Linked DNA regions of Saccharomyces cerevisiae S288C. Changing the gene in region 2 together with the main gene of any one other region gives a genetic interaction. Each region holds a gene or a part of one and is shown on either strand. Other genes may lie near its edges.

What was found.
Region 1: mutations in YDJ1 (region 2) and CDC27 together harm fitness more than expected from each alone (negative genetic interaction), as found in Saccharomyces cerevisiae (2 studies listed by BioGRID).
Region 3: mutations in YDJ1 (region 2) and SYG1 together harm fitness more than expected from each alone (negative genetic interaction), as found in Saccharomyces cerevisiae (2 studies listed by BioGRID).

What each region holds. Positions count from the first base shown.
Region 1 is NC_001134.8:66,413-71,799, reverse strand, and holds CDC27 (anaphase promoting complex subunit CDC27), read left to right. Parts: upstream 1-2,354; coding exon 2,355-4,631; downstream 4,632-5,387. Other genes in the region: ALG3 (dolichyl-P-Man:Man(5)GlcNAc(2)-PP-dolichol alpha-1,3-mannosyltransferase), read left to right, coding at 673-2,049; BOI1 (Boi1p), read right to left, coding at 4,982-5,387. UniProt on the Saccharomyces cerevisiae protein: Component of the anaphase promoting complex/cyclosome (APC/C), a cell cycle-regulated E3 ubiquitin-protein ligase complex that controls progression through mitosis and the G1 phase of the cell cycle.
Region 2 is NC_001146.8:504,732-508,883, forward strand, and holds YDJ1 (type I HSP40 co-chaperone YDJ1), read right to left. Parts: upstream 2,367-4,152; coding exon 1,137-2,366; downstream 1-1,136. Other genes in the region: AQR1 (Aqr1p), read left to right, coding at 1-753; MTQ1 (S-adenosylmethionine-dependent methyltransferase), read left to right, coding at 3,027-3,971; tRNA 1-methyladenosine methyltransferase subunit GCD10, read right to left, coding at 4,045-4,152. UniProt on the Saccharomyces cerevisiae protein: Probably involved in mitochondrial protein import. Is also required for efficient translocation of pre-pro-alpha-factor. Involved in heme regulation of HAP1, as a component of the high-molecular-weight (HMC) complex.
Region 3 is NC_001141.2:264,359-270,074, forward strand, and holds SYG1 (Syg1p), read right to left. Parts: upstream 3,466-5,716; coding exon 757-3,465; downstream 1-756. Other genes in the region: aminophospholipid-translocating P4-type ATPase NEO1, read left to right, coding at 1-534; YIL046W-A (uncharacterized protein), read left to right, coding at 3,951-4,115; ubiquitin-binding SDF ubiquitin ligase complex subunit MET30, read left to right, coding at 4,293-5,716. UniProt on the Saccharomyces cerevisiae protein: May function in G-protein coupled signal transduction.

The DNA of each region.
Region 1 (5,387 bases), on a different chromosome or scaffold from region 2:
CAAATGATAAATAATAATAGTAACAAATAATAATAATGGAAATCAAAAAAGTCGTATCAAATATTAAGCGAAGGATGGAAGGTACCTCTTGTTCTAGGTGCCACGATGCAGAAAAAAAGATCAGGAAAAACGAATGGGAAAAAGAGAAAAAGCTGGAAACGGGATTCTCTTTTTTCTATGCTGCTTTTGCTTTGCACTATTGGATAGTGTCTGTAGTATCTAAACTGATTGCCTATCTCTTCTGTGCTGGCATCTTATTCGATGTATATAGTTCTTAATATCTAGTGAAAAATTTTTGACAAATTTCTCGAGACCTGAATCTTCGACACGCAAGAAAAAATTGAAAAATTAACGTGGACCCTGGGAAGCGATGAGCTAGAGAAGGTAAATACAGGGTCGTACGACGCAGAAGCATCCCAAAATTGTTGCAACAAGTATGGAATGTCACATTAGAGATTTCCCAATCTTACATGACTCTTTATTGCTGTTTTGTAGATAGCCTTCCATGTAAAATGCATTTGCCGTCACATTCTGTGTGCGGTTGCTGGGTGCTGTAAACAAGCTAAAGAAATTTCGCTATCGAACTTAAAGAACAACGCAGTACACTAGTTGGGAGTGAAAACAGTATCATAGAGTGTGTATGGGAGAGAGAAAGAGTTAGATACTAGTAGTATGGAAGGTGAACAGTCTCCGCAAGGTGAAAAGTCTCTGCAAAGGAAGCAATTTGTCAGACCTCCGCTGGATCTGTGGCAGGATCTCAAGGACGGTGTGCGCTACGTGATCTTCGATTGTAGGGCCAATCTTATCGTTATGCCCCTTTTGATTTTGTTCGAAAGCATGCTGTGCAAGATTATCATTAAGAAGGTAGCTTACACAGAGATCGATTACAAGGCGTACATGGAGCAGATCGAGATGATTCAGCTCGATGGCATGCTGGACTACTCTCAGGTGAGTGGTGGAACGGGCCCGCTGGTGTATCCAGCAGGCCACGTCTTGATCTACAAGATGATGTACTGGCTAACAGAGGGAATGGACCACGTTGAGCGCGGGCAAGTGTTTTTCAGATACTTGTATCTCCTTACACTGGCGTTACAAATGGCGTGTTACTACCTTTTACATCTACCACCGTGGTGTGTGGTCTTGGCGTGCCTCTCTAAAAGATTGCACTCTATTTACGTGCTACGGTTATTCAATGATTGCTTCACTACTTTGTTTATGGTCGTCACGGTTTTGGGGGCTATCGTGGCCAGCAGGTGCCATCAGCGCCCCAAATTAAAGAAGTCCCTTGCGCTGGTGATCTCCGCAACATACAGTATGGCTGTGAGCATTAAGATGAATGCGCTGTTGTATTTCCCTGCAATGATGATTTCTCTATTCATCCTTAATGACGCGAACGTAATCCTTACTTTGTTGGATCTCGTTGCGATGATTGCATGGCAAGTCGCAGTTGCAGTGCCCTTCCTGCGCAGCTTTCCGCAACAGTACCTGCATTGCGCTTTTAATTTCGGCAGGAAGTTTATGTACCAATGGAGTATCAATTGGCAAATGATGGATGAAGAGGCTTTCAATGATAAGAGGTTCCACTTGGCCCTTTTAATCAGCCACCTGATAGCGCTCACCACACTGTTCGTCACAAGATACCCTCGCATCCTGCCCGATTTATGGTCTTCCCTGTGCCATCCGCTGAGGAAAAATGCAGTGCTCAATGCCAATCCCGCCAAGACTATTCCATTCGTTCTAATCGCATCCAACTTCATCGGCGTCCTATTTTCAAGGTCCCTCCACTACCAGTTTCTATCCTGGTATCACTGGACTTTGCCTATACTGATCTTTTGGTCGGGAATGCCCTTCTTCGTTGGTCCCATTTGGTACGTCTTGCACGAGTGGTGCTGGAATTCCTATCCACCAAACTCACAAGCAAGCACGCTATTGTTGGCATTGAATACTGTTCTGTTGCTTCTATTGGCCTTGACGCAGCTATCTGGTTCGGTCGCCCTCGCCAAAAGCCATCTTCGTACCACCAGCTCTATGGAAAAAAAGCTCAACTGAAACAGATGTATAAATATCATATAATCGTATTGTTTTAAATCATTTCTTTATACCATCTATATAGTACTACTAGTATTTAATGGTGCCGTTATTACCCGCGCTTGATTTTCCTTTTTTTTTTTGATCAAAAGGATGGAACAGGCTGAAAGTAAACCAAAAGGATCAAAGTGCAAGCAAAGGTGCCACAGAAAAGTTTATCAAAAAACCATACCTAGCTGTGAGAGTTTTAGACTCTGTTTTGGTGACTGCATATCTATTCATAAATCGACACGAACTTTTCGTGCAGGATACATAATAAAAATAGCATGGCGGTAAATCCTGAGTTAGCACCGTTCACCCTCTCGAGAGGAATCCCCAGCTTTGATGATCAAGCTTTGAGCACCATCATACAGCTTCAGGACTGCATTCAGCAGGCTATTCAGCAGTTGAACTACAGTACCGCAGAGTTTTTGGCCGAACTGCTCTATGCTGAATGCTCCATTCTCGATAAATCAAGTGTTTACTGGTCCGATGCGGTATATTTATATGCACTTTCGCTGTTTCTGAATAAAAGCTACCACACTGCGTTCCAGATATCCAAAGAATTCAAGGAGTATCATCTTGGTATCGCTTACATATTCGGGCGTTGTGCTTTACAGCTTTCGCAGGGAGTTAACGAAGCTATCCTCACTCTTCTCTCAATAATAAATGTATTTTCTTCGAACAGCAGTAATACGCGCATAAATATGGTGTTGAATTCTAATCTCGTCCATATTCCCGATTTGGCCACTTTGAATTGCCTGTTAGGCAATCTTTATATGAAACTGGACCATTCTAAGGAGGGAGCATTTTATCATTCTGAAGCATTAGCCATTAATCCTTACCTTTGGGAATCTTACGAAGCGATTTGTAAAATGAGAGCTACCGTGGATCTCAAGAGGGTTTTTTTCGACATTGCAGGGAAAAAAAGTAATAGTCATAATAATAATGCAGCTTCATCGTTTCCGTCTACATCACTATCGCATTTCGAACCTCGTTCACAACCTAGCTTATATTCAAAAACAAACAAAAACGGCAATAATAATATCAATAATAATGTTAATACACTGTTTCAGTCGTCTAATTCTCCCCCTTCTACATCGGCATCTTCTTTTTCTTCCATTCAGCATTTCTCAAGGTCACAGCAGCAACAAGCGAACACATCAATAAGGACCTGCCAGAACAAAAATACTCAAACTCCTAAAAACCCTGCAATCAACAGTAAGACGTCTTCTGCGCTACCAAATAACATTTCCATGAACTTAGTGTCTCCATCCTCCAAACAGCCTACAATAAGCTCGTTGGCCAAAGTTTATAACAGAAACAAACTTTTAACGACTCCTCCATCGAAACTGTTAAATAACGATAGGAACCACCAAAATAACAATAATAATAATAATAATAATAATAATAATAATAATAATAATAATAATAATAATAATAATAATAACATTATAAATAAAACAACTTTCAAAACTCCAAGAAACCTATATTCCTCAACAGGAAGGTTAACAACTTCCAAGAAAAATCCAAGGTCTTTAATAATCAGTAACTCAATACTAACGAGTGATTATTCAATTACGCTGCCTGAAATCATGTATAATTTCGCTTTAATATTAAGGTCGTCATCACAATACAATTCGTTCAAGGCAATAAGACTGTTCGAGTCTCAAATCCCATCTCATATTAAAGACACAATGCCATGGTGTCTAGTGCAATTAGGAAAACTTCATTTTGAGATCATTAATTATGATATGTCCTTAAAGTATTTCAATAGATTGAAAGACCTACAACCGGCAAGGGTAAAAGATATGGAAATTTTTTCTACTTTGCTGTGGCATTTGCATGACAAGGTTAAATCTTCAAATTTGGCAAATGGGCTAATGGATACAATGCCTAATAAGCCCGAAACATGGTGTTGTATAGGTAATTTGCTATCATTGCAAAAGGATCATGATGCCGCAATAAAAGCCTTCGAAAAAGCTACTCAGTTAGACCCAAATTTTGCATACGCGTATACTTTGCAAGGTCATGAACATTCTTCCAACGATTCTTCGGATTCTGCCAAGACATGCTATAGAAAGGCGCTAGCTTGTGATCCTCAGCATTACAATGCATATTACGGATTGGGTACGAGCGCTATGAAATTAGGTCAATATGAAGAAGCGTTGTTATATTTTGAAAAGGCAAGGTCAATTAATCCCGTCAATGTTGTGTTAATCTGTTGTTGCGGTGGTTCTTTAGAAAAGCTGGGCTATAAGGAAAAGGCTCTACAATATTATGAACTAGCATGTCATTTGCAACCGACTTCCTCGCTATCCAAATATAAGATGGGCCAGTTGCTCTATTCCATGACAAGATATAATGTTGCTTTGCAAACTTTTGAAGAATTGGTGAAACTCGTTCCTGATGATGCCACAGCCCATTATTTGCTGGGTCAAACATATAGAATAGTTGGGAGGAAAAAAGATGCAATCAAGGAGCTAACTGTTGCTATGAATTTGGATCCAAAGGGTAACCAAGTTATCATCGATGAATTACAAAAATGTCATATGCAAGAATAAACGCAGGTTGGCCAAAACATAACAAATTGAAACATGTTAAATGTTTTCATAATTCTTTTTGTTCTTCGTTGTTTCATATTTATTTTTAAGTTAATGTAATAGTAATAGTTAATAATAATAACGTTAATGGTAACAATAATAATAATATATATATCCAGTAATTTGAAAGAAGAGGACATCATGTCTGCGGTTCCTGCGATGTACTTCTTGATAGTATCAGTGTCTAATTTGATTGTATTAATTCGTAAACTTTTTATTTTTATATACTTTATATCACTATATTATGTTCTATTAAATATTAATTATTAAGGTGTTTAAGTTGGTCAAGAAGTAACTAATGATTGCAGTTCTCAAAGTCTGCCACCAGGGTATTCAAATGCTGAACTTTCCAGGTAATCGCTGGTCTCAAATTGATCTTGTTCGATTGGATAATTAGAATTTCTTTTATTTTGGGTGTCATCCCATCCAAATTGATCTCTTCCCTCTTCCTCTTCAGCATCTCTTAACTGGGTTTGTAACCTAGCTTCTTCCAATAGCGTCTGTGCCTTGCTTAGAGGTATCGTTGGTGTGGCATATGAACTAATGACAGGGACGCTTGTATCAATATCAATAGTGGCCTTTATTATGGCTGACAGCCATGCCTTCATTTCAGATTTATTCTCAACTGCAAAATAGTGAACGCGAGGTTCTGTAAAGGTTAGCCCCTTTTTGGACCCCGGTTGCGGAGGGACCAATTTGAAACAGTATTTTCCTTTT
Region 2 (4,152 bases):
GTATTGCCAGAAATTATTCTGTCTTTATTTCCATCAGGGCTCTTATTTGCTATGTGGACGTTAATGCTTTCCTCTATTTCATCCGGTTTATCAGTGGCGCCATACAACTATCATTTGGTCATTATTGGTGTGTGTTATCTACCCGGTGGTATTGGCGGTTTAATGGGTTCCTTCTTCACAGGTAGAATTATTGACATGTATTTCAAGAGAAAGATCAAGAAATTCGAGCAAGACAAAGCTAACGGGTTGATTCCACAAGACGCAGAGATTAATATGTTCAAAGTCCGTTTAGTTTGTCTTCTGCCCCAAAATTTCTTGGCCGTCGTAGCCTATCTTTTATTTGGTTGGAGTATAGATAAGGGCTGGAGGATCGAATCTATTTTAATTACTTCATTTGTCTGTTCATACTGTGCTATGAGTACATTATCAACATCAACTACGTTATTGGTCGATTTGTACCCAACGAAATCATCTACAGCAAGTAGTTGTTTCAACTTTGTTAGGTGCAGTTTGAGTACCATCTTCATGGGTTGCTTTGCCAAAATGAAAGCTGCGATGACTGTAGGTGGTACTTTTACATTTTTATGTGCGCTGGTATTTTTCTTCAACTTCTTAATGTTTATTCCGATGAAATATGGTATGAAGTGGAGGGAGGATAGATTATTGAAACAACAAAGACAGTCTTGGTTAAACACCTTGGCAGTCAAAGCCAAAAAGGGAACAAAAAGAGACCAGAACGATAATCATAATTAATTGGCATTCTTCAATTTGATAGACACTTATCCCTGCATATTTTTTTTATAAACAGCTTATAGACTTTCATGTAAATTTTTCCTAATTAATGTATTATTTACTTCGTTAATTTTCCGTTGAATTATTGACATGTTAAAGGTGCACTAAATATACCTAATACAAAAAATGGTTTTCTGTGGCAAATATATACAGTGGAAATTTCAGCATATAATCCCTGCTTTACTCTTTCCTTAAGATTTCGTCATAATTAGAACTTTTTTTGGTAAACTGCATTTTCTACCATTATTACTTTACATATGTATAGCTACAAAACTGTATTTTGAAGTGAAAAGTATGATGAATAAATGAATCGTGAATAAGTTGATCTTTTTTTATCAAGAAAATCATTGAGATGCACATTGAACACCTTCGCCACCTTGTTCTTCTTCATCGGAATCATAGTTTGCACCACCCCTGGAGGCCCGTGTTCTGTTGTATTTGGCTGGGTCAAAGTCTGCGAGTACACATTCGTCCACAGTAGCTTTCTTTGGAATGGCTGGGACAATTCTTGGAGGCAAAATTTCTTCTAACTTCTTCAAGTTTTCTTCTGATGTGAAATGGTTTTCTGGGAACTTGATAGTAAATTTGATGATTAAATTACCATAGCCACCGTATTTTGGAATTGGCATACCTTTACCTTCGATGACCTTACGCATACCTGGGGCAATAACTTCACCTGGAACAATACCGACCTTTAACCAATCACCAGAAACATGTTCCAATGCAAATTCACCACCAGCGATAGCAGTCAATAGATCAATTTCAGCCTCATATACTAAATCATCACCATCTCTCTTGAAGCTCTTGTGTGGTCTCTCAGAAACTATGAAGACAACATCACCTGGAATGACATCTGGGGCTTGGTCAGCTTCACCTTTGAAAACGATTCTTTGACCATCTTTCATACCTGGTTCGACATGGACTTCTAGGATCTTCCTTTCGTTTTCAACTTTCTTACCGTTACAAGATTTACAACGATCCTTAGGATCAATGATATCACCAGTACCGTGACAGACATCACACTCTGTTTGGAATCTTTGGATCATTGGACCCATTTGTCTTGTTACAAATTTAATACCTTGACCATTACAGCTGGTACACTTCTTGACGGCGCCTTTCTTACCACCACGACCTTCACATTCTTTACATAGGATCTGTTTGTTAAGGGCTAACTTAGCTGTCCTACCCTTATATAATTCTTCAAGTGAGGCAGAAATTTCATGCTTGATATCTTTACCTCTTTGGGGACCTCTTGGTCTTTGTGCGCCACCAGCACCAAAGAATTGGGAAAAGATATCGTCACCAAAACCGAATCCACCACCTGGGAATCCGCCAGCGCCACCAGCACCACTTAGACCATCTTCACCAAATTGGTCATATATATCTCTCTTTTCAGGATCTGATAAAATTTCATAGGCTGCTGAAGCTTCTTTGAACTTTTCTGCAGCTTCCTCACTTGGATTCTTATCTGGATGGTATTTTAAGGCGCATTTTCTATAAGCTTTCTTAATTTCGACATCAGTGGCAGTTACTGGAACACCTAGAATATCGTAAAACTTAGTTTCTTTAACCATCTTTGGACGTTTATTATTGTTGTTGGAAGATGTAGAATTCAGTTTGGATAATTTTTAATTATGTTCTATCAAAAGATATGGTAACAAATAACAAAAAAATAAATACGTAACAGTTATCAAATAAGACGCTTGTTCGGGCCTAATATATATGGGGAAAAGGACTTTTTGTGACTTTGATTTATAAAAACGAACTACACACCTTATCAAACAAGAACTACCTAACCAACATATAAACGTAGAGCAAGTTTTTACACGTTTTATAAGTACGTGGATTGATCTGCAAGTTAAATACTTTCCATACCTGCCGATGCTCTATTGCCTTTTCATTTCTTGAAAAAGAAATGAAAAAATTTTCTATTTTTTCGATGGCCTTCTATAATTTTGTACGAAATATTATAGGTCAGGTGTATATCACGTGCTCAAACCAGCGACTTCACATCTTATTTTATACCAACATACTCATTATAACAATGTATTCCATAGTTGAATACACACAACTCAAACGTGTATAAACGACTTTATTTTGCCGACTCTCTACGGTCAATGTCTTGTTACGTTTTCAAGTGCTTTTAGAAACTCTGCACTCTCTTCCCCTTAACTCGTAGACAAGGAGCGATAGTTGAATGGTAGGAACGAAAAAGAAACGGTTAGAAAGAACATATGCCTCGAATATCTACATCATTGATAAGAAAAGCTTCGAGAATACGACCTGGTTTGCATCTTTTGCTTCCAGAATGTAGGACTCTCGAGCAAGCGAAACTCGAGTACAAATGGCTCACCGAAGAGCTGCCTCCGGATAAATCAATCCGCTGGGCTTGCTTACAGAGATACAAACACGTCCCATTGCAGTACATCTTAAGATCGCAACCGTTTGGGGCCTTGGACATAGTTTGCAAGCCTGGTGTTCTTATACCAAGATGGGAAACCGAGGAATGGGTGATGGCCATAATAAGAGCTCTAAACAACTCTATGCTTTCAAGGCATACTATACCACTGCATATTTGTGATACGTTTACAGGAACAGGGTGTATTGCTCTCGCTTTGAGTCATGGTATAGCAAATTGCACGTTCACTGCCATTGACGTGTCAACAAGAGCAATTAAGTTGGTTAAAGAAAATATGCTGAAAAACAAGGTGAGTGGTGGTAAGCTCGTGCAACATAATATATTGTCCTCAAAAGCTAGCGATGAATATCCATCCCATATAGATATATTAACCGGTAACCCCCCCTACATTCGAAAGCGTGACTTCAATAGAGATGTTAAAACTTCCGTAAAGCTGTTCGAACCAAGGCTAGCGCTAGTGGGTGAGCTTGAATGCTATATAAATCTAGTAAATTATTGGCTGCCGAAGACAGACTCCTTCTTTTATGAGATTGGAGACGTTGAACAGTTTAATTACGTGGAGAGGCGCATTAAAGAAGATTCATATCTCAGCCGTATTTGGTCTATTGGTTTGAAATATGACTCGAATGGGAAAGCAAGAGTCGTATATGGGTTTAAGGCCACTCCCAAAGGGCGAATACTACACCAGATTTTTGCATCCTTTGGGACTATAAGACATTTAGCAACCGCACTCAGTGGGCACAAAGCTAATTGCAACTAAGTATATAAATGTAAATATATATATTCTCAGGTTTTTTTGTTGGAAGTTATCAAACGGAACACTCTGTGGACATTTATATTTTTTGTTTCTTAGCTCCATGTTCAGCAAGCTTTTCACTGGAGTCAGCTGCAGTCGCGTTTTCCGATACAGGTTCAGGAGCAGGGATGACTCTGTGACACCA
Region 3 (5,716 bases), on a different chromosome or scaffold from region 2:
GTCGGTTATGCTACCTGCTATACAATGGCTCCAGTCTTTTCATTAACTCTTGATCACGATATCGAAGAGTCATTGACTAAAATATACCCAGAATTGTACAAAGAATTGACTGAAGGTAAGAGCTTATCATATAAGACGTTCTTTGTTTGGGTTCTATTATCGCTATTCCAAGGTTCTGTAATTCAATTATTTTCTCAGGCCTTTACGAGTTTATTAGATACTGATTTCACAAGGATGGTTGCTATCAGCTTCACTGCTTTGGTTGTAAATGAATTAATAATGGTTGCCTTAGAAATCTACACATGGAATAAAACAATGCTCGTCACTGAAATTGCTACTTTACTATTTTACATTGTATCGGTTCCATTTCTTGGCGATTATTTTGATTTAGGTTATATGACTACCGTAAATTACTATGCTGGACTTTTAGTTATATTACTCATCTCGATCTTTCCTGTCTGGACGGCAAAGGCAATTTATAGAAGGCTACATCCTCCAAGTTATGCAAAAGTGCAAGAGTTTGCCACTCCATAATTCAATTGGTTTGGATTTTTCTTGTTGCTTCAACGGATTATCTTAAAAAAATCTATCATATTTCAAAATATAAATTCTTATTTTTACAAAGAAGATATAGATTATGCATAATATTATTTTGTTACATTTTTTTTCTTTTACTTTTTATTTTCTTTTCTTTGTACTTCCTCAAATAAGCATCTTTAGCAGGTTAACAATAGCAAATATCATGTCCAGCCCAAATCACATAATACTTTCCACTTCACTTTCACTATCTGTTTCGGGAGACCTATCATCCACGGTATTGACAGTTGGTCTTTGGAAATCAGTTGCATGTGCCCAAGGAATGGATCTCGAAATGTTCTCAAACACGGAGGACCTTCTTCTGAAAGTCCCACGGTAAGCGGGCATAGGTTCGGCAAAACTGTGAGGATTATTGTCATGTGAAGGCGTGATAGGTATGTCGTTAAGTGATGAAAAGGCTTTTGAACCCAAATCACTACTATCCATAGAATCATCACCGACCTGCGCAATTGGATAAGGCAGAGGAGCGTCACCGGTAACCCTGAATAGGTGAACATTGGCAACATGTTCATTTTCGACTCTGAAGATGATCCAAACGAATCTTCTTAAAACCTCCAAAAGGGCCAATATAAACGACGTCACAGCACTCTGCTGAATTGTTTGAGGAGCAATTGCGTATACAATCCACTCAAATCTAATGAGGATATCCCAAATCATAGCAAAGTAATAAACTAACTTCCTACTGAATGAATAACTGCCGTTTTCCCAATTTTTTTTACCAGCTAAATACAAGTCGTCTCTTAGCAACCAATTGTAAGAAGTAGTATTGTGAGCAAAGGACCAATCCATAACTAAATCCCAGGCGGAAGTAAGGATCGAATTCAACGTAGCGCACACGATAAAAGGGGTTCTCCTTTGTTCAGAACGGTCTGACAATCTGTAAGCACAAAGTGTGGCATTATACGCTATACCCAAAGTGTATTTCGCCGCGTTCAAAAGATGAGGGAACCAATCACCGGAATCAGCAAATCTTCGTAAACATTGCATGAATCTCCAATAACTTGGTAAACATGATAAAACACCCATTGCTCTGGAATGTGAAGAGCCACATAGATTGTTGGGCGTATGAGAGTAAACACAGAAGAACATGGCAATATCGGCAATAGAATACGTCAACGAACAAATAATATCTCCCAAAAAGAAATCACCAAACTCAACAGGGAAAAAACCAGACATCATCAGTCTAATAAGAGTAACCACCAGCCATTTTCTAGTGTGTACAACTTTGTCCCAATATGGAATTAGACCAGAGGGACATAAAAATAAGAAAGACACAATACCAATATATAAAAAGCCTAAGGGTGTGAGCTTCTCCAAAGCGAAACTTAACATGGAACAGACCGCACAAGGTACTATGAAGAATGTCAAGAAATACAACTTGAGCGGAATTTTACTCGTGGCAAAATCATTGTTGAAAAATTGCGTACCATTCTTGGATTGAATCTCACCCAGCATAATAAATCTATAATTAATCCCGGTTCTATGCCAGATAAAACAATTAACAAGAAAGAGAAACGCGATCAACAAAACCATGTACCAACCACCCCACAGTGGGAACAGAATCTTGTGCGTAAATGACGTTTCTTCAGAGCTAATGCCCAAATACAAAGTGTAAGTGATCAAAGTCATTGACACACCTATGCCCAGCCCGACAACCAGCATCTGCACAATCGATCTGTTGTTTCTATGAACCATTTGTTCGGAGATAGAGTACTGAATGGTCAATTTCTTCAACTTATGGGTATTGTGCTTCCTGTCCTTAGGCGAATTGGTCAACGCAGTGGTGAACCACTCGGTGATCTGCGTTTCCAACCAAGTGATGGGCTCTTTGTCTCTTTGGGCGGAAGAGAGCTCCGAAGTGGGTGTTGGTTGCGAACTGGTTATTTGTTGCATCTTCTGTGCCACCAACTGCACGTTGGCATCCGCGTGCTTGAAAAGGGTGTAGTGGGTCCTGGCGTACGACATGAACGTGGTCAGCTCTCTTGTGTGACACGTTTTGTCGAATTTCTTGACCATTTTACGGAACCCGGTGACGTTGATATCCCGGAACGATTTGACCAATTGCAAGTACAGATAGTACTCGATTATAGCGTTGCTTAACAAGTTTCTAGCCTGGGTTGTCGTCATAGTCTCCAGAAAAGAAGCGCCAAAAGCAAACGTCTCGCGGCCTCTTGAGGACGCATCCTGTCTCAAGTCCTGTAGCAGAGAAAATCCACGTTTGGGCCACGATGGCAGCAGCCTATTGTCCTTAAGAACTTTCTGACAGTACGCTAGCAGCGACAAACGCGGCTTCTTGGCCTCTTTGGTGCAGGGCATTGACCCATACATAACAGACCGGCTATCGCTGTCGATGCTATTGACCCTGGAGTCAGAACGACCAGCAAGCCCTGCCGCATATAGACTCGTGGACATGTCAACATTCGAACTAGACCGGTTCAAGTTGTCGCGCTCATAATTCTTCTGCAGCGAGTAATAGTGCAGTTGCGACTGTAAAACCTCAAACTTCTTGTCGCACTCCTTTAGCAACCAAAGGTAAAACTCGTTACACTTACTCAACTGGAACGAGATCAACCAGTCTTCAATGAAGTCAGCAACGAACTCCCTCTGCAAAGCAGAATAGTCCTTCTTGAACGCAGGTCCGGAGCGATAGTCTCCGTCGCTGCGACTTTTGCCGGGCTCTCTCTGCTGAAATGCAGTCTGGTATACCGACACAGAGGGCATCCAGCTCCGGTAGGAGCTGGATTGCTCTTCTTCGGCATCCAGCTTCTCCTTGTAGCGGCGAAGCTTCTTCTTGCCGACCTTATAATCAATATATTTGTCCCTCCATTCCGGGATGGCAGACTCGGTTAGATGGTCAGCAAACTTCATCTGATACGGTGCTATGGTAAAGCCCTTCCATTGCTGCCAACTGAATTAAAAAAAAAAAAAAAATAACTACCAACCATCAAATCAAACAAAACAAAACAAAAAAGCAAAGGAGAAAACCCATCTTGTACATGTACAGTCCCAAACTGTTGCGAAACCGTGCGATGATGTTCATGGAACTTGCGTCAAATAAAACCGCATCCCGTCCCACGTGACAAACGGCACCCAAAATCCGTTCTAGAAATGCCTCACACCCACACCGATGATGGGCTTCCGACTCGATGACTACCAACACATAGCCAGCCGCAGCGGCTGGCAGCATGTGCATGATAATGATAAGTGATGATGAATGATGGTGATAACGATTTTGAACAAATGGCTGCAGCGATAGCAACTAAGGGGATGGAAAGACAGATCTGGGAGAGATAACTGCAGGGTGTGGCACGGCAACACAAGGCTATTGTATTGCACTAAACGGGCAAGAAGCCATGATGTGCGTCTGTATCCCAAAAAAAAAACTAATGGATTGGCGCGTGTACTATATATATTCATATGTCGTGTGTTTGTATATGTGTGGGAGTGATTGTGCGTGTATATGTGTGTTGGCGTGTGTGGTACAATGTGTGTGTTTTAATGTAGAAATGAGGTTGTAGCACGTGATCGGGAAGCCACAGTTTGCGCGGAGATATTTTATTTTTTTTCATCAGCGTAAGAAGAAAGCAACCTTGCAGTCTGTATCGTAAGAGAAGACTGCAGTTAAAGAAGTTTAGAGAAGAGGCTTGAGTATCGGTAAAGGGGTGTGTGTTTGGTGATTTATAAAGGAGAAGGGCATGAGGAGAGAGAGGCAAAGGATGATGAGTTTCGAGGACAAGGACAAGGACGACCTTGACAATAGTAATAGTAATAACAGCAGTGAAATGACAGATACGGCGATGATGCCACCATTAAAGAGATTGCTTATTACGGGCAGTAGCGATGATTTGGCACAAGGATCATCGGGTAAGAAGAAGATGACGATGGCGACGAGGTCGCCATCGTCATCACCCGATTTGGCGACAAACGACAGCGGCACTAGGGTACAGCCATTGCCAGAATATAACTTCACCAAGTTCTGCTATCGGCATAACCCGGACATTCAGTTCTCACCAACTCATACAGCGTGCTACAAGCAGGATTTGAAACGAACGCAAGAGATTAATGCTAATATCGCGAAGCTACCCCTGCAGGAGCAATCCGACATCCACCACATTATCTCGAAGTACAGCAATTCCAATGACAAGATACGGAAGCTGATTCTGGATGGGATCCTATCGACGAGTTGCTTCCCACAGCTTTCCTACATTTCGTCACTCGTTACACACATGATCAAGATCGACTTCATCAGCATTCTGCCGCAGGAGCTGTCGCTGAAGATCTTGAGTTATCTGGATTGCCAATCTCTTTGCAACGCCACGAGAGTGTGCCGCAAGTGGCAGAAGCTCGCGGATGACGACAGGGTATGGTACCACATGTGCGAGCAGCACATAGACAGGAAATGTCCCAACTGTGGCTGGGGGCTGCCTCTTTTGCACATGAAACGTGCGCGGATACAACAGAATAGTACAGGATCTAGCAGCAACGCAGATATCCAGACGCAAACTACGCGACCTTGGAAAGTCATCTACAGAGAACGGTTCAAAGTGGAGTCAAACTGGAGAAAGGGCCACTGCAGGATTCAGGAATTCAAGGGCCACATGGATGGTGTGTTAACGCTCCAGTTTAACTACAGGCTTTTGTTCACAGGCTCGTACGACTCCACCATAGGTATATGGGACTTATTCACGGGGAAGCTAATACGAAGGCTCAGCGGCCATTCGGACGGCGTCAAGACATTATATTTTGACGATAGAAAGCTGATTACGGGCTCGCTCGACAAGACGATCCGTGTTTGGAACTACATAACCGGTGAATGCATTTCCACGTATCGAGGCCACTCGGATAGCGTTCTGAGCGTAGATTCATACCAGAAGGTTATCGTTTCCGGCAGTGCTGACAAGACGGTCAAGGTATGGCACGTGGAGTCCAGGACATGCTACACCTTGAGAGGCCACACGGAATGGGTTAATTGCGTCAAATTGCATCCGAAAAGCTTTTCATGTTTTAGTTGCAGTGACGATACCACAATCCGAATGTGGGATATCAGGACCAATTCATGCCTAAAAGTGTTCAGGGGTCATGTAGGGCAGGTGCAAAAGATCATACCGCTTACCATTAA